Linked DNA regions of Anolis sagrei. The protein of the gene in region 3 binds, or shares a complex with, the protein of the main gene of each other region. Links are inferred from orthologs where the notes say so. Each region holds a gene or a part of one and is shown on either strand. Other genes may lie near its edges.

Region 1 (7,379 bases), on a different chromosome or scaffold from region 3:
CTGATACCTCATCCCTCACATATGTTGCCTTCACCCCCTTTAATTTGTCCAAATAGCAATGACTTTTCCAAGTGTTTGCAGAATTATAGCCTTAAATAGCACAATTCTGTGCATGTGTATTCATAAGTAAAGCCTACTGAGTACAGTGGGGATAACTCAAGGAATATGTGTATAGGATTGAAGGTCTACTCAGAAGTAAGTTCCATTAATGTCAATAGTGCTTACACCCAGGAAAGTGGATGTGGCTTGAAATCATATGTGCTAACTAGAAATACAAAGTCTGTCACTACTTCCATGTTTTCTCCCTTTATTTGCCAGTTATCAATCAGTCTGATTGCCATAATCTTGGTTTTTTTAAAAAATATTTAATTGCAACCTAACTTTTGCACTTTCTTCTTTCATCTTGGTTGTAAGGCTATTCAGCTCCTACTCACTTTCAGCCATCACAGTCAGGCCCGTAGCCAGGATTTCGATTTTGGGGGGGGGGGGGGGGAAGCTGAGTTGTTTTCAGGGGGGGTTTTCGGGGGGACTGAGTTTCAGGGGGGGCTGAGTCTGAGTGAAAGAGGGTCTACCCTAGCAAACCTTTTGTATTATTACCCCAATACCCCCATGCATATGGGATATATTGAGTATGGTGATCAGATCTCTAATGGTATTCCGCAAAAAAGTGAAGACCTGGCTGTTTGTGCAGGCATTCAAATAACTAGTGCAATGATTGGTAATGAACACAGGAATGGAACAATGGATGACGAATCTGGATTATGGTTTTGATGATGAGACGATAGTGATTGGTTACTGTAGTAATTGTCTAATTTATGTAATTTGTTAAGTTGTTAAATGTTTTTATACTGTTTTTTTGGTTGTGAACCGCTGTGAGTTGCCTTCGGGCTGAGAACAGTGGTATATAAGTAAAGTAAAGTAAAGTAAATAAATAAATATGAATAAACATAACAGTTTAAATAATGCACCAGTAAGGCCTTTTCGCGAACCACCATGAGAATTTCGGGGGGGGGGGGGGGGCTGAAGCCCCTCAAGCCCCCCCCCCCCCCCCGGCTACATGCCTGATCACAGTGGTATCATCTGTATAGCTAGGATTGGTAATGTTTCTTCCAGCAATTTTAACTCCAGCCTCGGATTCATCAAGCCCTGCACAAAACCTGATGTGTTCTGTATACAAGTTGAATAGGTAGGGTGAGAGTATACAGCCCTGCCATAGTCCTTTCTCAATCTTGAACCAGTCTGCTGCTCAATGGCCTATTTTTACTATTGCTACTTGGTCATTATACAGATTCCTCAAGAGACAGGCAAGGTAGATACAACAGGGCCTCCCAACACATACACACATCTCACCCCATTTTGCTTCAATCCCAATCTCGGCTACAAGGCACATAGGAAAAAAAACCCAAATTATTCCTCAAAAACACCAGACTAAACTGGAGGTGTTATTTTTATTGCTTCAAAACATTAAGCAAAAGATCAGATTTCAAAATGAATTGGGAAGAACAGTGTGTGATATATCAGGACTGAAATCATGGTAAAGCTCCATTATTTCCCATGTGAAGATTCAGCCCTAGAAAAGAACAGAGAACGTTTCCCCTGTTTTATCCTGGCTAGCATACTCTGTTTCATCTGCTATCTTTAACTAACAAGCATTTCCAAGAACTGAGACAAACTTGCTGATAGCAATTTTTTTTAGGGATGACTCAGAAGTTCATCTTTCCCTTTGGAATAAGTCATGGTTGAATAAGATTTGGTTCCACCTCCTATTTTGAAAGACTCTGATACATCTTGTACCCTGCAGCCCAAGACTCAGCAGCTCAGTTACAGTCATATGCAGCTGGGCCTTTTCTATGAACAGCTGCAGAATAGTTTAAGCCTCCACAGTCTTACTTTCCATAGATGAATATGAACCTCAGTTGCAGATAAGAGTTCACTGGAATAGAGCAAAAGACTGAAATAAGCTGGTTAATATCAAAGATGTGCCCTGAAGTCAGTGGAACTAATGAGAAATGAGCCCTTTGAAAACTGAAGCCAGGTGTAATAATTTTGAAATGCTGAATACACCAATGTTTTTTTTTTCCTATAGTTTTTCATCAACAGTGTTTCCCCCTCCTCTAGTATGTAATCCTTCACCACATAAGACTTTCATGTCAGGACCATTTTGTACTTAACTGATTGACTTCTTAAAGATACTTCGTAAGTACTTAGAGGTATATGAAATAATGCTCCACACAACCAAACAAACTGAAATGTAATCTATGCAATCATTCCAATCCATGCTCCTGGTCAGTTGAAAGGCAGATGTGTGTAGTGCCATATTCTTCAAAGGTAATTTAAAGATGGGTTTAAAGCTAACCCTAAAAATGTGGTATAAACACTGAGAACTGGGAAGGACAAATGGTTCCTCTTCATCCTGGAAAGAAGTGACTAGTGGAGTGCTACAGAGTTCAGAAGATTTAGGGTGTGCTTATCAAGTTTGCAGATGACACCAAATTGGGAGGGATAGCTAATACTCCAGAAAACAGGATCAGTATTCAAAATGACCTTAACAGATTAGAGAACTAGGCTAAAATTAACAAAATGAAATCCAACAAGGACAAATTTAAGATACTACACTAAGGCAAAAAAAAATGATATGCAGAGATACAGAATGGGTAATGCCTCGCTCAACAAGAGCCCATGTGAAAAAGATCTTGGAGTCTTTGTGGACAAGTTGAATATGAGCCAACCGTGTACTGCAGCAAGAGATACTGACAAACTGGAAGGCGTCCAGAGGAGGGCAACCACAAGGATAAAAGGTCTAGAGACCATACCCCATGAGGAGCATCTTAAAGAGCTAGGCATGTTGTAGGTTTTTTGGGCTGTATGGCCATGTTCTAGAACATGGCCATACAGCCCGAAAAACGTACAACAACCCAGTGATTCCTGCCATGAAAGCCTTCAACAATACAGAACTAGGTATGTTTTAGGTATGTTTAGCCTGCAGAAGAGAAAGATGAGAGGAGGCATGATAGCTATATATAAATATGTGAAGGGGTTTCATAAGAAAGAGGGAGCAGACTTGTTTTCTGCTGCCCTGGAGACTAGGACTAGTGGCGTAAAGACCTGGGCATGTGGAGCTGAGAGGAGACACGGTGGCCATGTGTAAATATGTGAGGGGAAGTCATAGGGAGGGGGGAGCAAGTTTGTTTTCTGCTGTCCTGAAGACTAGGGTGCACAGCAATGGGTTCGAATTACAGGAAAGGAGATTCCATCTGAACATTAGGAAAGAACTTCCTGACTGTTCAGCAGTGGAACTTTCTGCCTCTGAGTGTGGTAGAAACTGGATGGCCATCTGTCAGGGATACTTTGATTGTGCTTTTCCTGCATGGCAGGGAGTTGGAATGGATGGTCTATGTGGGCTCTTCCAACTTTATTATTCTATGACCATGGTTACATACTTAAATATCTCTGTCCACAAAGAATGGCATAAATTATATACTTTACCTAAAACAAGTAAACTTCATTTCCTTACTAATGTCATGGTTAGGTGCACAGGATTTATAGCCCTATAACAGTAATAATCATGTCCAAAAATCATGTCCAATGGCCAAATCCCAAAGAATTTGGATACTTAAGAAATAAAAAGACAATATTAAAAGCAACTTGGATTTTTAACAGTAGCTTGAGCACTTGTACATTATTTTATAAGAAATGAATACTATGAGATCCAGTTTCTAGTGAAACAGACTAGTAACCAGATATAATTTTATTACTCATTTGCACAAAGTCTGGCTATAAAGCGAAGGCAACAAAGCCATTAAAGCATGCTGTTCCATCATGATTTACAGTCCCAGACACAGTCCTTCACCATCTTCTGAGGCCAATCTCTGGAGCCATTTGCAATCTCAAGATTAATTTCACTGGAAAGGTTGCATAGTTACAGAGTAGACTGCATTCCTTTCCTTTTAAGGGGATGCTTGTCTGCCCTTATTTTTTTAATTGCTGGAAAATATGTGAAGGCTAGTGTTCAGTACTTGCACTAAAGGAGGCACTTTACATCAGTCATGTTGCTCATAGATGAAAGAATCTAGACATTCATTGCATGATCTACATGGCATTTTGCATCTCTTAATTTCCTTGTGTTTATTATTACTATTCATAAGTATATTGGACTGGATCCCTTTTAAAGAAATGTATGGTTTATATCTCTGGAAAAAGACAGTTTCACATTGGGTGAAGCCCAGAAAATCAAACAACCCCTTTAGGAAGCCAACTTGCTCCAAATACATGGTTACATTATCAGAGAGACGGTGGTGGTGATGTATGAAAAGCAGAGACCTCCATGACTCAGGGAGGTGATGAACTGACAGGCAGATGGAGCCCGTTATCTTAACTTCTCATTCCAAGTTTTCCTGTAAAACTAGTTGAAGGGGAGAGGGCTTTTAAGCAAGTGCGAGACACAGAAAGTAAAAAAAAAAAATGGGGAGGAGGAGACTGAAAAAACAGATGGGCAATGCATGAGATGGTGCTTGCTTTCTAAAGTGCATGACTGAAAAGTCTGCACAGTTGGAAAGTTTTAGACTTCACCAATTCTGTGGCAACTAGGTTTGGATATCTCTGAAGTCTCCTGAATTGTCACTATCAAGGAGAGTTTGTTGATGCTATTTATCTATTGAGCCTAGAAACATTCATTTGGAGAAACAGGATGTTTCAGAACCTGGTTCGGCATGCGACCTCGGCTTATCGTCCGCTCCCCACGCACCATCCAGGGGAGCCAGGAACAAAGTATACTGGCAAGATGGTCCATGAAACCCAACTCAGCTGCTTCTATAGTCCACCTGGAGGTAAGGGGCTCAAAGTGGCATGCTGTGTATAACCTCATAAAGATAAACTTGGATTTTATGCTATATAAACATGTTTTATAAATACTTGAGTAACTGATAAGGTATTTCAACCCCTTGCTGCAAAATATGCAACATACTGATCTATGGAATTCGGGGGGGGGGGGGGATCATAACAAATCCTGTTGTGTTTTGAATACTTCATGTCTAGTATTTTTGTCTAGATTACATATGAAAGTGAATTTCTCTGGAATGGGGAGAGATGGACCTAGAATGCCGTATTAACAAACAAAGTTCAGGAGCAGGGAATGTACTAGTTTGAGAGAATAATGCAATTTATACAAATGTTAAATTTTATTTATTATGCAGAACCTACTGAAAGACAATTTGATACACTGAGGACTAGTGAATGCAGAATATAATTCATATCAGATACCATTTAATTTGTGCATTGTCATTATTTTCAACCTCAACATTGCTATACTACATAATTTTGTTTCCACTGTTAAAAATAACCTGGCTGTTCTTTTGCCAGATCTTATGTTTTGCACTCTTGTTTCCTAACATGCATTTTTAAAAAAATCTGTCCCCACTGAAATTAAAGTGGTTTGTGCATAAGCACCTTACCAAAGGGCTTGTAGACTTTTGAAACTGACTAACAGATGTTAAACCTGATTAAGTTATTAATTATCGAATCTCTCATTTTTGAAAAGTTTTTAAGTCATGTGGAGTTTCCATTTTACCTGTTTGGATAGAATTAGAACCTATTTTGATGAGTATTCTCTAACACTATGGAACAGGGATAGTAAGCAATCTGACTTCTCCCCAGCCTTAACTACTATCAGCTACTTATGGTTTTTCTTATCGCAACAAAATCTAGGATTCCTCCAGTGGGTAGAATGTGCTTAATAAAAAATATACATCTAGACTAGAGTGGTGTGTTACACATGTTGAGAAATCCAAAAAGGAACAATCTGATATATGGCAATACGTTTTGTTTAGTTTTATGAATGCCATTCATATCTCCAATGCACAACAAGTGCTCAGAGTATCTATCCACTTTCACTTGTCTTAGATTCCTCCCACGTCCAATTGTAATGCCATCAAGCCTCACTGTTGACAGTCCACATAGCAATGTTATCTTAGGCACTTCAGTCCATCTCCTCTCACATGGCATTGTTCTGATTTGATATAATATTTATTTAACACTAATTAAAGCAATATTGTAAACTATTATAATTTGCTTTATATATGTATGCATGGTTGGTGATGTTTACTGATACGTTTCCAGAAGAAACAAAGTAGATAATCCCATAAATTATTTAAATCATTTGAAGTAATCACTTTTACCACTATATACATTACTATATACATAACCTAGCCTACATATAAGCAAACAAAACTGGAGTGATTCAGACCGCAGGTTTATATAGCTCAGTTGCTGTCAGGAAGCAATTCTACAAAAATTAAATAAATAGGAAATTCTCAAGTGAGAACAGAGGGAATGGAACTTTTAAGAAAACTTTGCTACTTTGCCTTTTTTCTGAATAAGGGAGCACATGTCATGGTCACATCCAGATTAGATTACTGAAACAAGACAACCTTGGAAGAGTGCTTGGAAATTTCAGCTAAGGCAGAATGTAGCAGCTACAATACCACTTGAAGCCTACTGATTTGATCACTAGTTTTGCTGTTGGTCCATTCCAAGCTCAGTTTGAAGTGCTAGATATGACCTTTAAAGCCCAAAGTGGTTTGGAAACTAGATATATTAAGAACTGTGTACATAATCACAGCTTCAGTAGAGCCTTGTTCCTTTTATCAGTAACTAAGAAACAATGTGTGAATAAATGGGAATAGTCCCCATTAATTTATGCTATATAAACATGTTTTATAAATATTTGAATGACTGATAAAGTATTCCAAAATTATAGCTTACAGTCTATAGCAGTAGTTCCCAACCTTTTTGACCAGGCCCCACTTGAATGGGGCCACTTGACCAGGGACCACTTTGACCAGGGACCACTCTCCAATATTAGTACCAAAAGGGGCAGGGCTGGTTAGCTCTGTGGAAAGGAACGGAAATATAAATAAATAAATAAAGAGGAAGGAGGTTCACAGACTGGATTTTTGTTCTCGTGGTTCACCGCTGGGCCACAGCCCACAGGTTGAGAACCACTGGTCTATAGTGTACCAGATAACCAACCTATGTGTATATATAGATGTCAGGGAATGACATCCCCCAAGAATCCGTTAAAATTTTGGATCTATTGGCAAACTTTGGCTTCTTTGAAAAACCGTCAGCACCTGTTTATTTTTAATGGAAGAAATCTTAAACTTCCAAACTGATACCATTAAAAATAAATCGAATTAACATAATAAGCAAAATTATCAGTTTCAACCCAAACAATGCTGTTAAATTTTCTAGTAATTAATACTAGGTATGTAATAGTGGGTATGTGTTCTGAAAACCTAGATGTTGATCATTACCAGTCTACTCTTCCATTTAGAGGAAAGTTTTGAGATGGTTTAGGTTTCACATGATGAATGATAAGGCAA
Region 2 (7,886 bases), on a different chromosome or scaffold from region 3:
TTACCTTTGATCTTCTTTTACTTTCTGTTAAGGCTGGAGATTTGGTCATTTTCTGTTTTTAAAAGTTTCATCCAGTTCAAGCAAACAGAATTCACGTGTATAGATCCATTTCTAATATGCATTCCAATAAAGTTTTGTCTAACTCAGCATAGGACCAGGGGAAGCAATAGGTGATATTTCAGGGTATAACTCTCCTTAAGGGTTTCCAGATTTTGGGGAACTACTGTGCTTTCCTGGTTCTCCAGATAAAGACACTGATCTCAGGATGAGCAATGCTGGAGTGATATTTTTAGGTATGAGGTGGCCTTAAAATGTGGGTATGTGCCTCCACCCATTCCCAGTTGATATTGTGATTCATTGGCTCGTCTTAAAAGCGTTGCATGCATAATATGTTTGAGCAGCCTCGGTACACCGAATAGGGGAAGGCGCTAGGGTGAGACACAGTGAGTGCTCACACTGAGGCTCAACGTGGTAATTTGGAGCAAGGCCCAACCCTATGACATCACAAGAATCCTCTCCCTGGTTCCAGGTTTTGGCCCTGAAATCTCTGGGATGCTGTTCGCTTGGCAACCTTGCTCTTATCACTCTCAGGTGGCATATGATCAGTGTTCAAGGAGCCCCTGGTGGCGCAGTGGATTAAACCCCTGTGCCGGCAGGACTGAAGACCGACAGGTCGGTTCGACTCCGGGGAGAGGCAGATGAGCTCCCTCTGTCAACTCCAGTTCCTCATGCGGGGACATGAGAGAAGCCTCCCACAAGGCTGATAAAAGCATCAAATCATCCGGGCGTCCCCTGGGCAACGTCCTTGCAGACGGCCAATTCTCTCACACCAGAAGCCACTTGCAGTTTCTCAAGTCGCTCCTGACACAACAAAAAATAAATAAATCAGAATTCAGAGGTTAAAACAGTTTTAGTTCAAAAAATCTGGATGGCACAGAATGAACAGCACCAAGGGTATTTATCAGTTATATGGATTTATAACTAATCTGAGTATTCCTGCATTACAGGAGGTTGGATTGAATGTGCCTTGTGGTTCCTTCCAATTATACGATTCTGTATCATCTATTCTAAGGTCACAGATCCTTGGAATGTTGTTTAATTTGAGTGAGTGCTAAGAAGCAAAAACCCATAGAGCTATAATTTCCAGGATTCCTGAGAGTTCACAACTGTTGAAGAAATTTAACTCTGCAATAAAATCTGCTCAAAGGATGGCATCAGACTTAGAAAGCTATGATGATATATGTTCCAGAGATGGAGTTTATCTGATCAAGTGAGACAGTACAGAAGTTTCTCGACAGATTGACACTCTTGTTTTCCATGCCGCACTGTTTTTCTCAAGAGGGTATGAGACAGAGTCTGGAAAAGTTTGAGCAGGGAGGTTAGATTACAATTCACAAGACACACCAGCATGGCCAAAGGGGAGTTGCCAGGAGTAATTCATTGTCAAAAGAAACTTGTACACAAACGGAGTGATACGTCATCATGTGGTCATTAACATTTGATGAGCTCAGACAGCATCCAGCACTGAAAAGGTACAAACAAATACCACACTCCTTTATAAACTAGATGCTGGGAAGTCCAGTTCCTTAATCATGGATGTGTAAGGACAATCTGTGCTAACTCAAAAATGAGGGAAAGGCATTCTCCACACATTCTTTATTATTCTTACTCCAGATACTTTAGCTTAGTGTAAAAAATAGTGTTGATGCTTACCCAACACAACTTCAGCCCCAGGTAAAAATCCAAATATATGCTTCTAAACATCTCACTAAGCTGACTGAAAATACATCAAGCTGCACATTTTTCCAAAATTTTCTAAAAGTATTATTAGTAATGAACAGAAAGACTGGACCACAATATCACACATGGAAACAATTCTTGGCCCTCAAGGCAATTCTTTTCTTTTGCTTCCCAGTATCCCATTTCCGAAGCCTTTATGACAGTCAAGGAGTGGCTAAACATGACACAAGGTACTTGTGTGCCATTACCCACGTCATTGGCGGGACGTAAGTGGAAAAGCATTTTGGCTTTCCATTCTGTAACTGCTCTGGTGTCTGTGTGTCCACAAATGGATCCAAATCTCATAGGAGCCACCCATCTCAGGTTCCTAGAGATTTCATCATGGCTGCCTGGAGCTCCACCAGAAACTCTCCATTACATGGTTGGGACACCAAAGAACAGCCTCCAGCATAGAACAAAGAACATCACATGCACCATATTGGTGTAAAACTCAACTTCTTGCTTTGAACATCTGAAATAGCTGCTTTCCCAAGGACAAAATCTTCCTTGCTCTTCAAAGAGGAAGGACAAGCCCGCATGTAATCTCCTCAGAGCTTCTACAAAGGGCCAAAAACGTCCTTCCCTGTCTTTTCAAAATGGCAAGTGACTGAGAGGTACTAAACTTTCCCTGCTTAGCAGCAAATTTCATTGGAAATTATCCGTCTGCAGAAATCAGGTGACAAAAATGAGCATGCTTTGGGAATGTTTCAATCTTTGTTTACAAAAGCTTTGGTGGGAGAGTTTCTGTATGTGTGAGAATCCCACACAATCCTTAACTGATAAGACTATAGGAAAACAGAACATTTCTGCAGTATTATCTGTCCTTTGAATCTCTTCCTACCCTCAGCCAGAAAAGGAGTGTCAACCATTTTATGTTTCAACAGACTGAAAGACATGCATTTATCCATCTTATGAAGCCAATCAGATTAAAATGGGTAAAATACACTGGCAATCAAGAGGACAGCTTTTCGACAGTTTGCGTGAAAAACAACTGTCATGTTCATAAGCATTAAAACTCCAAAAAAATTTCAGGTCTCCATGTAGGGGGAAAACAGACTATACCAGTACCCAATGGGGGAAAAGTGGAAAGCACTTACCTCCAAGAATAAAGCTACCACTTTCCAGCAGATTAAATCCTTCTGAAAAATATCAGACACTCCTGAAAATTCACTTTCTTCTGTCTGGCCCAATATCTCACTTTAGAGATCCATAGGAGATAAAGAGTTTCCCCTTGCCAGGACTTAATGTATAAAAGTTTGCTGTCCCAGCACCGCGAGGAACTCAAGTGACAGGGTGAGAGGGGAAAAGACAGCTGCCATCCATTGGGAGGGCTGACACAGAGAAATTGGACACTGGCAAGGAGCTTTAGCATGAATAGTAGGCCAAACTGCCTGAGACAGCAACGCAACAGCTCAGTCCACTCCCTGGGGATTGGTAGGAACTGTCAAAATAGTGTGTATGAGAGAGAAAGATGGAACCTAACTACGACTCATTTGCCTATGAGGTCTCAAAGAGACATTGCTGCCTGGATCACACATTCACCAGCTCAGATCTACAAATTTGTACCTCATCAGGTCATTCCAGAACAAGATGGCAAGGGAGGGAGAGAGGCAGGAACATGGAGAAGACATTGGACTAGAGCTTTGAAAAACTGCTGGGGTTGGGGAGGGGTTACAATTCCTTGTCAACCTAACCCATTGTTCTCCCCTAAGGATTTTGGGAGTTATAATCCAAAAAGTTACTTCAACAAGCTGTGCACAACGCACATACACACAATCCTAATATTTCCTCTATGACCTTTTCCGTGAAGCTTATCTTCCTTACAGATAGAAGTGCTTCACAAAGTACAATAGAGTTTTGCTTATCCAACATAAATGGGCCAACAGAATGTTGGATTAATGAAAGTGTTGGATAATAAGGAGGTATTCAGGAAAGTGCCTATCAAATGTCAGATTATGTTATGATTTTACAAATTAAGCACCAAAACATCATGTTTGGCAACAAATCAACAGAAAAAGCAGTTCAATACATGGTAACGTTATGCAGCAATGATTGTATTTACGAATTTAGCACCAAAACATTGTAATGTATTGAAACAGCTGTGGATCGAGGCGGGAGGCAGACTGCATTAGATAATATAGAACGTTGGATGAGCGAAGGCTAGATAAGCAAGACTCTACTGTACAATGAACAAGACTGACTTCCACATTTATTTATTTTATTTAGGGCATTTGTATCCCATCCTATCTCAACCCCTGCAAAGGGACTCAGGGCAGCTACCAACTGGCCCAGCATAGTGCCAACAACAGAGTAAAACAAGCATAAATATACATATTATAATAAAACAATATAAAAACATTTAAACAGTTCTCCAATTTAAGTCATCATCCTAAAACCAGTCCAACATAGTCCATTAAAACCATTTCTTTGCCAGCAAATCAGTCTAATGTGTGAACGCTTGATCCCACGGCCAGGATTTCACTTTTTTCCCGGAAGGTCAGGAGTGATGGAGCAGTTCTGATCTCATTTGGGAGGGAATTCCATAGCCGAGGGCTACCACCCTCGTTCCAGCCAAATGCGATGGCAAAGGTGGAGGGACTGAGAGCAGGGCCTCCCCAGATGATCTTAAGATCCTAGGTGGTTCATAGAGGGAGATACGTTCATCAACTGTAAATGTGCAAAGTACTTCAATGTGGAGGAATAAAGACATCATCCAAGTACTGTAGAGACAGCATTATTCTTAGAAAATGACTAAGGCAGTAATGGTGGGGTGGGCTGAGAAAATGTAGTTTGCTTAAGGCTGCCTACTAATTTGTCGGCAGAGCAAACAGAATCCAAGGCGCACCTAGGACCCTTCCACACAGCCCTATATCCCAGAATATCAAGGAACAAAATCCCACAATATCTGCTTTGAACTGGGTTATCTGAGTCCGCACTCAGATAATGTGGGATTTTCTGCCTTGGTATTCTGGGATATAGGGCAGTGTGGAAGGGCCCCCAGTTCAAATGTCAGTTTCTCTGGCACTGGGGCTATAATCTTATAACCTCTCACATGGAAACAGTTTCCACTCAAGTTAAAGGGACATATTCCTGAAGAGACATTGGGAAAATTGAAATAAAAGCTAAATTTGCTATATTCTGTAATGTTTTGGTAATTCAAAGGGCCCTTCCACACAGCCCTATATTCCAAAATATCAAGGCAGAAAATCCCACAATATTTGCTTTGAACTGGGTTATCTCAGTCCACACTGCTATATATTCCAGTTCAAAACAGATGTAGGATTTTATTCAGCTGTGTGGAAAGAACCTTAGCCTTGGTATCAGAGAGAGGCGATTAGTTGTAATGGGTCAATGATGCAGTTTCATTGCTCACAAAAAATTATGCCTCTTCTCAAATCTAGAAGCCAAATTAATTGTACAAAACATGCATATGACATTTTACTGTTTTGCATAATTTATAAAGAATTCTAAGTTACTTGGCAAATTCAATATGGTTGTTTTTGAAGCACAAAAACATAAAACGGTTCTACAAATCAACATATTCTGATTTGCAGATCTTTTAGATTAGGGCGATAGTATAATTGAATAACGAATCAGATAACGCTACTATCTGTCTTTTAAAGAAGGACTAAATTAACTTCTTCAGCATTCTTTGATTAATTTCTTCCAACAAGCAGAAAAGATCGGCCAAAGTCTGCATTTTACATTTCCATATAGTTAAGATCTGATACATTGATGAAATTACATTGCAGCCTTCAAACATACCCCATTTAGACATTTTATCTAGGTGAATATCTAAAATGAATAGATTCTGGAGCAGAAGCTTGCCTGGAAGTCAGTCTCCAATCTGGATGTTCTTAACTCTCAATTCTGTATGTTGGCCAGTGCTGTGATGTCTGCATATTTGAGGGAAGTCATTTCATCCATTATTCCAAGTTTGATCCATGACTTTGAGAAAATCAAACTAAATTTTGATCCCTTTGACTCCATCTCACTTCAAAATCCAGAAGAAAGTGGATTTGTGCCTGCCCACTGAATAGATTCTTTCATACCAATATTAAACACATAACAGCTTCTCTTATGCAATATACCAGGTTAAAAAAAATCCTTAAAGTTTTGTCCCCCAATTACAAAATCACTAGTGTTCATTTTTGATCTAGTCAAGACCCTTTCAAAATGCTTTTCAAGTCAGTGGTGGTACAGTCAGCCCTCTTTATCCACAGATTATGCATTCACAGATTCAACCATCCATGGCAAATACCAAGGGTGCTAAAAATACATTTTAAGATAGGAAAAGGCAGAATTAAAATTGTAATAATATATATCACATCACAAACACAAAAGATAAATACAAGTCACATTTGGCTTCTGCAATTACAAGAGGTGCTCAAAATAGTTACCATCAGCTTCCAGACACTTCTGATTATGGTGGACTATGCCTGAGCATCGTTGACCAAAGTGTGCACTAGTATCGCTGTGCATGCCATTTCAATTTATTCCCAAAGTATTGCCAGTGTAGCAGGTTTCTATGGTACATCACATCCTTTAAGGTCTCCACAGATCAGTGGTTCCCAACCTGTGGTCAGTGAACTGCCAGTGGTCCAGAATGAAAATATGGTCTGCGGCTTAACCATTACCATACAGTTGCCTCAAAACCACGAAGCAACAAGAGTGATTGGTCTTGCAAAACCCTCTTATAGTCCTAAGGCAATGGGGATGTCGGTAGGGGAGAGGCTGACTACCCACGAAAGATTACTACTACCACAGCTGGCACGTGTTCTGTATCAGAAACTAGAGCTGATGTGGCCTTTGCAATGCAGTTTTCTGAATCAGCACCCCAAATAACCAAACAAATCCAAAGTTGACTAAAAACTGATTCGTAATCCTTTTGGTACTAATGTTGGAGAGTGGTCCCTGGTCAAAAAAGGTTGGGAACTACTGCCATGGAGTGTTAAGTCAAGGGGTGTTAAGTCTGGAGAACGTGGGGGAAATTTGGCTGCACCTCTTCATTCTTCTGTTCAATTTAAACTGTGCTTTGTCAGATCAAATCATTTTCTCCACAAACTCATCCTTCTATACTATTTTTTGGAACCAGTCACAGTACTGAACCCTGAGATCAGGGCTGTCTTCATTCAGTGCATGTAATAATCTTGAGGTGAAAACTTCCCAATTTACTGATTTAAGAATGTGCCAGCTAATTCCTGTCTCATGTGCAATTTGATTGGTAGACATCTCCGGTGAGTGTGTAAACTGTTCCAACATCATAGGAGAAGCAGGACTTGTTGCTGTGCAACGTCTCCTGAATCTTCCCTTGTGCACATCACACACAGCATCATGTGTCTCAAACTGATCAGGAACAACTGCATTTGTTAGACACTTTGGATGTTCTGTTGCCTCTATTGTTGTTTTACTTCCACAGCATTCTCAAACTGCAAATAGCATTTCAAAATGGTTTTGTGCTCCTTAAACAACAACCATGCTTTCAACATTTTCTTTGATCACCTGCCTGTCTCATAGTGATGATAGTATTCATTTGATTAATGCCATCTTTTGAGCGAATGTCATACTACACATTGCTACTGTAGTTCAATTCACCATTAAAAATACATAAAATGTGTATACATTTTGCACCCTCTGTATTTAAAAAGATTCCCAAAAGCAAACCTTAATTGTTCTATTTTATATAAAGAACACAGTTTTGCTACTCTGTTGTACATAATGGGACTTGAGCATCCATGGATTTAAGTGATCACTGGGAGAACTTATGTATTTTAGAACCAACCTCGAAAGGATATTAAGGGCCAATTATACCAATTATTGACTGAGGTTGCAACTAGTTTTTATCCTCAGTCTAATGATGCTGCTTCAAACAGCAGCCCAATGTCAATTTCTCCCATCCTTCTCAGAAAGGTTCAACCATCCTTAAAACATGACACTTCTCTACCTCACAAGTCAATGATGCAAAGTAGAGACAGGGAAACACACAGGAAATTAGTTCTACCTTCTTGTGGGGTTGTCCTTTTCAGCAACGGCCTTTTGAACTGACACCATACAGTCATTATCTCCCCACCCAGGAGGAAATCAGAACTATGCTTTTCAGTTTTTAA
Region 3 (7,514 bases):
TAGAGTTTGGTCCAGATCCATCATTGCTTGAGTCCGCAGTTATCTCTGGATGTAGGTGAACTACAACTCCAAAACCAAAGGACACTGCCCACCAAACCCTTCCAGTATTTTCTGTTGGTCATGGGAGAACTGAGTGCCAAGCGTGGTTCAATTCCATCGTTGGTGGGGTTCAGAATGCTCTTTGATTGTAGATGAACTATAAATCTCAGCAACTACAACTTCCAAATGAAAAAAATCAAATTTTTGAGTGAAAGACATACATTGGGTTGTTAGGTATCTTGTGTCCAAATTTGGTGTCAATTCGTCCAGTGGTTTTTGAGTTCTGTTAATCCCACAAACGAACATTACATTTTTATTTATATGGATTCTTACTGGTGTTAAGTACCATTTCCATATTAACTTATAATTAACTTATAATTAAAACAGCAATTCCTAGACGACACAGCCGGACTAGATCCCTTCCAGTCCGGCTTCCGTGCGGGGCACGGGACAGAGACTGTGCTGGTCTCCATCACGGATCACCTTCGATGCCAGCTTGACCAGGGCAGGTCAGCGCTGCTTGTGTTATTGGATCTCACAGCAGCATTTGACACAGTCGACCACAATCTTTTGACCCACCGCCTTGCTGTTGCTGGAGCCAGGGGGACAGCTTTAAACTGGCTGTCCTCCTTTCTTCACAACCGTGGACAGCGAGTGGAGAGGGGAGGCCTGGTCTCTGAGAGGTCCCCTCTATCTTGTGGGGTTTCTCAGGGGGCCATTCTCTCCCCCCTGTTGTTTAACATCTATATACGTCCACTTGCTCAGCTGGTTCGAGGTTTTGGGCTTGAGTGTTATCAGTACGCCGATGACATTCACCTGGTACTGAAGATGGAAGGCCGACCGGACTCTGTACCCGATTGTTTCCATCAGTGCCTCGAGGACGTTATTGGATGGCTGCGTGCCAGCAGGTTGAGGGTGAATCCAGCAAAGATGGAGATCCTATGGCTGGGTCGACCGGGCAGTGGGGACATCCAGCTGCCTACCCTGGTGGCGAGGCACTACGCCCGTCATCATTGGTAAAGAGTCTGGGAGTCCTTTTGGACCCTCTGCTGACGATGGAGGCCCAGGTCTCCGCCGTTAGCAGAACCGCCTTTTTTCATCTGCGGCAGGCTAGACGGCTGGCTCCCTACCTGTCCAGGGACGACCTAGCTACAGTGATCCAGGCCACGGTCATCTCAAGACTGGACTACTGTAATGCCCTCTACATTGGCCTTCCTCTGTCGGTGATCCGGAAGCTCAAGTTGGTACAAAACGCAGCTGCTCGGCTTCTTGCGGGAATTCCGATGAGATGCCACATAACACCAATCTTACTACAGCTGCATTGGTTACCAATTGAGCACCGGATCACTTTCAAAGTGATGGTACTCACCTTTAAGGCCTTGCATGGTCTGGGGCCGATGTATCTGAGGGACCGCCTCACCCCCTACCAACCCCAGAGATCCCTCCATTCTGAGGACCAAGATCTATTGGAAGTCCCCAGTGTCAAGACCTTGCGCCTAACAGCAACCAGACGCAGAGCCTTCACAGCAGTGGCACCGTTACTCTGGAATACTCTGCCACCTGAAGTCCATGCCTTGCAGGACTTACCAGCTTTCCGCAGGGCATGTAAGACATACTTTGTTTCGACAGGCTTTTAATGTTTGATATTGCTATTTTTAAATTGTTTTAAATGGCTTTTAAAAAATTATTATTATTATTATTATTATTATTATTATTACTTTATTTGTACCCCGCTAGCATCTCCCGCAGGACTTGATGCGGCTTACATAGGCCAAGGCCTCAAAACACAATACAACAATACAATACCTAGAGCAAATTAAAACAGTTAAGCAGAAATAAACAACAGCAATAACAATACATCGAAACATCAAGACAATATAAAACTGGGCCAGGCCAGGGTAATGGGTACAAGATTAAAAGTGCTGATGTAGCAGGAGGTATGTAGGATTATAAAGTAAGTGTGGTGTGCGGTGTGCAGCAATCTTAATTCTGTTAAAGTGCTTCTAGGACTTGGTATTGGGGGTTCCTAATCTGAAAAGGCACATCGGAACAGCCAGGTCTTCAAGTTCTTTCTGAAGACTGCCAGCGAAGGGGCCTGTCTAAAATTTTGTTAGATTTTAGCCATTCTTGTAAGCCCCTCCGCAGGCCCATAGCCAAAATTTCGTTTCGGGGGGGGGGGGCTGATTTTTTTTCGGGGGGGGGTTCGGGGGGGGCTGAGTTTCGGGGGGGCTGAGTCCGAGTGAACGAGGGTCTAGCCTAGCAAACTTTTTGTATCATTACCCCAATACCCCCATGCATATGGGATACATTGAGTATGGTGATCAGATCATGATATGAATAAACATAACAGTTTAAATAATGCATCAGTAAGGCCTTTTCGCGAACCACCATGAGAATTTCGGGGGGGGGGGTTGAAGCCCCTCAAGTCCCCCCCTGGCTACATGCCTGTCCAGATCCATCATTGTTTGAGTCCGCAGTTATCTCTGGATGTAGGTAAACTACAACTCCAAAGCCAAAGGACACTGCCCACCAAACCCTTCCAGTATTTTCTGTTGGTCATGGGAGAACTGTGTGCCAACTTTGGTTCAATTCCATCGTTGGTGAGGTTCAGAATGCTCTTTGATTGTAGGTGAACTATAAACAGGCCGGTAGCGAAGGGGGGGGGGGGTTAAGGGTTCAACCCCCCCCCCCCCCCCGAAATGTTTCAGATTTAAAAAAAAAAAACTGGTTTACTCATGAATTTGAACTGGTTAACCAAATCCCCATGCTAAGTCTATGAGATGCAAAAAATCAAGAGTCCCTCCAGAACTGCAAGCACTATCTCAAGCAAATATTAGCAATTTATTCACACTGTCATTACTTGCAGCAATAGCCAATGTAGTTGTTCTGGTACAGCTTTATTTGCTTTGTATTAAATGTTTGCTTGCAGTCCTAGGTTTCAGGGACTCTGCAGAAAGGTGGCTTCTTTGGTTGCAGTCATAGGGCAAGTCACCTGTCCATCATCGTTAAATTTTGGTCCCGCCCCTTGCTCAGGGCAATTGGGAAGGGAAGGGAGCCATTTTTAGTTAGTCTCAGCAAAGTAAGCTTATATATAGGATGAGTGCAAGCTTCCCCTGTACAAAAGCTTCAACCCTTAAGACTTTCCAGGGGAGAAAGGTCTTAAGAGTCTCCAAAGAATTTCCAGGACCAAAGAACTCCAGCTGGAGAACATCTACTGCCTTGCTAGTAGGTCCACTCGGCGTTCGAGACGCAGTTCGACCCGGTAGCAGAGCCCACATCAGTAAGGGTTAGATTACAGTTAGCCTGGGAGAAGTTACGAAGGGGATTTTTCTTTAAAGAAGAAGTTATTGAAGACAGTTGCCTGTCCTTCGTGGGCAAGATTAGGAATTCACCAGTTGCCTAAAAGCTTGGAATCATTTGCTTAACTTTACTGAAGACAAGAGAAGTTTCTGTTTGATTGTTCATTAATAAAAGACTTTGTTGTACTTCTCAAGCCATCTAAAGATTAGGTTCTTGTGGGTTTTTTCGGGCTATAGAGCCATGTTCTAGAACATGGCTCTATAGCCCGAAAAAACCCACAAGAACCTAGTGATTCCAGCCATGAAAGCCTTCGACAATACATCTAAAGACTGTTTGTGGTGGAAACCTCTGAGAACTTCTCTTTAGGCCCCCTGGCTTCCCGCTGGGCAAAGGTTGCACATCCTGTTCTAAAGACAATTATTTACAGGCCCAATGCTCGACAGAACAGTACTGAAGCAACCAAGTTGGGGGGGGGGGGTGGAATGTTGAATGCTCTCATTAAGGAGGCCAGACTTGGTGGAGGTGGTTGACAAGGGCGGAGCTGCAGGCTATTGAAGGCTGCTCTGCCCCCTGCTGTGCTCTTTGCCCCCCCCCCTGCGAAATTTTCAACCCCCCCCCCCCAAATTTAAACCCCTCCCAAAAAATTTTTCTGGCTACGGGCCTCACTATAAATCCCAGCAACTACAACTCCCAAATGAAAAAATCAAATTTTTGAGTGAAAGACATACATTGGGTTGTTAGGTGTCTTGTGTCCAAATTTGGTGTCAATTTGTCCAGTGGTTTTTGAGTTCTGTTAATCCCACAAACAAACATTACATGTTTAATTATATGGATTCTTACTGGTATTAGGTACCATTTCCATATTAACTTATAATACTTTTTCCAAGCAGTCTTCAAAGGTTCTTCCTAATGTTCAGATTGAATCTCCTTTCTTGGAGTTTGAAGCCATTGTTTCAGAAGAAGGGCAGATAGGAGCAGCAGCAGGTGGATGCTGATAGGATGATGGCCTTGGAGGCTGCCCAGGAGGAGGGAGGATGGGAGGCTGGTTTGGGGCAACCCAAGTAAGGCTGGAGCCAGCCCTCCATCTCCCCTCCTCCTCCTGGGCAGCCCCTCCCTCCCATCTGCGCATCCCCCTTGGGCTCAGCCCACCCCACGCCCACCTTGCCTTCCCTCTCCCTTTGGCAACAGCAGCAGCAGCAACAGCCACCACCGCAGGAGCCTCTCCAGCCTTCCCTGCTGCTGCCAGGAATTGCCTTGCGCCCTCTCTTCTTCCTCCATCCCCGCCTTGGAGAGGGCAGCAGAAGCCATGCCGAGGCGACGGGCGTGAGGAAGGGGCTTGTGCCAGCCCCCGGGGGCGCCCCTTCCTCCCTCCCCGGCTTTGGCACCATGAGCCCGGCGTCGTGAGCGCAGGCGGCGGCGGGCAAGGGGCATCTCCATGGTGCAGGAGGGCGGCATGTCACGCACACCTTACAGCTCCAGCCAAGACATCCAGATGGAGGTCTTAGACAACCCTGGTCTCCAGGTGAGAAGGGGGGGGGGAGCAAGAGGGAGGGGGGAACTTTGGAGGTGGAAATATCACCTTCTGGAAAAGGATGGATGGGGAAAGAAGGGGCCAAAGGAATCAGGGAAGGGCTGATCTTCATCCACCCTTTTTCCCCTGGTTGAATTCGTCCCTGCTCGCCCACCCCTCCCTTGTTTCTCAACACGTACAGACAAGCAAGAGAGAGATGATGCTGGCAAGGCTTTTGCTTTGAGCCTCCCCAGTGATGAACAGCCATCTAAAGGGGTTAGGAAGTATTTGAAAGGCAACCTCAGAGGGATGTGGGATTCCTAGATTGGGGAGAAGGGAGGAGCAGCAACAGAGGCAGGAATGGCTGTTGAGTCTAGCAGTCCCTTTGATGCCTAGGGATTGCAACTTCCACAGAGAGAGCCCTTCTTCTCCCTTGGCACTAAGGAGAAGGGCTCTCTGGTGTCTAACTAACCTAACTAGGTTGTTGTGGTTTTTTTGGGCGATATGGACATGTTCTAGAAGCATGAACTATGATAAAATAATTTTTAAAAAATTTAAAAAAGAAATAAAATTAAATTTAAAAAAGAAGCATTCTCTCCTGACGTTTCGCCTGCAACTATGGCAAGCACCCTCAGAGGTTGTGAGGTGTTATCTGCTTTGATAATCTGGTTCTAGAAGCATGAACTATGATAAAATAATAAAAAATATATATCTAAAAGAAATTAAATTAAATTAAAAAAGAAGCATTCTCTCCTGATATTTCGCCTGCAACTATGGCAAGCATCCTCAGAGGTTGTGAGGTGTTATCTGCTTTGATAATCTGGTTCTAGAAGCGTGAACTATGATCATATATATATATATATATATATATATTAAATTTTAAAAAGAAGCATTCTCTCCTGACGTTTCGCCTGCAACTATGGCACGCATCCTCAGAGGTTGTGAGGTGTTATCTACTTTGATAATCTGGTTCTGGAAGCATGAACTATGATAAAATAATAAAAAATATATATTTAAAAATAAATACAATTAAATTTTTAAAAGAAGCATTCTCTCCTGACGTTTTGCCTGCAACTATGGCAAGCATCCTCAGAGGTTGTGAGGTGTTATCTACTTTGATAATCTGGTTCTAGAAGCATGAACTATGATAAAATAATAATTATATATATATTTAAAATAAATTAAATTAAATTTAAAAAGAAGCGTTCTCTCCTGACGTTTCACCTACAACTATGGCAAGCATCCTCAGAGGTTGTAGGGTGTTATCTACCTTGATAATCTGGATTATATGGCAGTATAGAAGGGGCCTTAGTGTGTCATACAGTCTGCCTTGTATTTCCCAACTAACCAAATGTCTTGTCGAAGGCTTTCATGGCTGGAATCACTGGGTTGCTGTATGTTTTTCGGGCTGTATGGCCACATTCCAGAAGCATTCTCTCCTGACGTTTCGCCTGCAACTATAACAGGCACCCTCAAACCTCACAACCTCTGAGGATGCTTTGTCGTAGATGCAGGCGAAACATCAGGAGAGAATGCTTCTAGAATATGGCAATATAGCCCGAAAAACCTACAGGAGGTTGCTTGCCATAGATGCAGGTGAAACGTCAGGAGAGAATGCTTCTAGAACATTGCATATAGCCCAAAAACCTACAGGAGGATGCTTGCCATAGATGCAGGTGAAACGTCAGGAGAGAATGCTTCTAGAACATGGCCATATAGCCTGAAGAATCTACAGGAGGATGCTTGCCATAGATGCATGCCAAACATCAGGAGAGAATGCTTCTAGAACATGGCCATATAGCCTGAAAAACCTACAGGAGGATGCTTGCCATAGATGCATGTGAAACATCAGGAGAGAATGCTTCTAGGATATGGTCATATAGCTCAAAAAACATATAACAACCCAGTTATTCCAGCCATGGAAGCCTTCGATAAGACATTAACCTAACTAGCTCGCTCGGGGCTTCCGCTTCCTGATTTGATTCAGACACCAGGAAGGCCCAATTAGTAAACAGCAAAATAAAGCAGGAGAGAGTCATAAAACTGGTTGGGTTCCCACCCTGCACTGTTTCGTGCAAGCGGATGATCTCAACTCAGTGCCTGTTCATCTATCTTTCCAATCCATCCATCCACACATGCAAACAGATGACAAAGCCAGACCCACAGAGGGACTTTGACAGTGTGCCTCTATAAAGTTAAGGGAGGGCATGGGTGATTGGGTGGGTATTATTGGATGCTATCGAACACATAGGAGCCCCAGTGGCGTAATGGGTTAAAGCACTGAACTGTTGAACTTGTTGACTGAAAGGCTGGCAATTCGAATATTAGGAGCGGGGTGAGCTCCCGCTGTAAACCCCAACTTCTGCCAACCTAGCAGTTCGAAAACATGCATATGTGAGTATTTATTTACTACGTTTATATACCGTCCCTCTCAACCGACTCGAGGCGGTTTACAGTCGTTACCAAGACCATAAAATACAATTAGAATACAATGAAAAACATTAAGATAATGTAAACCATAGCATCTATATAAATAAAAATGTAATGTTCGTTTGTAGGATTAACATAACTCGAAAACCACTCAACGAATTGACACCAAATTTGGACACGATACACATATCAGGCCAACGAGTGCCCATCACTCATACAAACACTGAAAAACACA

Evidence for each region.
Region 1: CACNB1 (region 3) and CACNA1C share a complex: the UniProt entries of both Homo sapiens proteins name them as parts of the calcium channel complex. The link is inferred for Anolis sagrei from reciprocal best matches to the Homo sapiens genes CACNB1 and CACNA1C.
Region 2: CACNB1 (region 3) and STAC3 share a complex: the UniProt entries of both Homo sapiens proteins name them as parts of the calcium channel complex. The link is inferred for Anolis sagrei from reciprocal best matches to the Homo sapiens genes CACNB1 and STAC3.

Annotation. Positions count from the first base shown.
Region 1 is NC_090025.1:179,275,695-179,283,073, forward strand, and holds the start of CACNA1C (voltage-dependent L-type calcium channel subunit alpha-1C), read left to right. Parts: upstream 1-4,344; 5' UTR 4,345-4,687; coding exon 4,688-4,826; intron 4,827-7,379. UniProt on the Homo sapiens protein: Pore-forming, alpha-1C subunit of the voltage-gated calcium channel that gives rise to L-type calcium currents. Mediates influx of calcium ions into the cytoplasm, and thereby triggers calcium release from the sarcoplasm.
Region 2 is NC_090022.1:185,456,495-185,464,380, forward strand, and holds the start of STAC3 (SH3 and cysteine-rich domain-containing protein 3), read right to left. Parts: upstream 3,103-7,886; 5' UTR 2,877-3,102; intron 1-2,876. UniProt on the Homo sapiens protein: Required for normal excitation-contraction coupling in skeletal muscle and for normal muscle contraction in response to membrane depolarization. Required for normal Ca(2+) release from the sarcplasmic reticulum, which ultimately leads to muscle contraction.
Region 3 is NC_090026.1:43,878,289-43,885,802, forward strand, and holds the start of CACNB1 (voltage-dependent L-type calcium channel subunit beta-1), read left to right. Parts: upstream 1-4,406; 5' UTR 4,407-4,774; coding exon 4,775-4,861; intron 4,862-7,514. UniProt on the Homo sapiens protein: Regulatory subunit of L-type calcium channels. Regulates the activity of L-type calcium channels that contain CACNA1A as pore-forming subunit.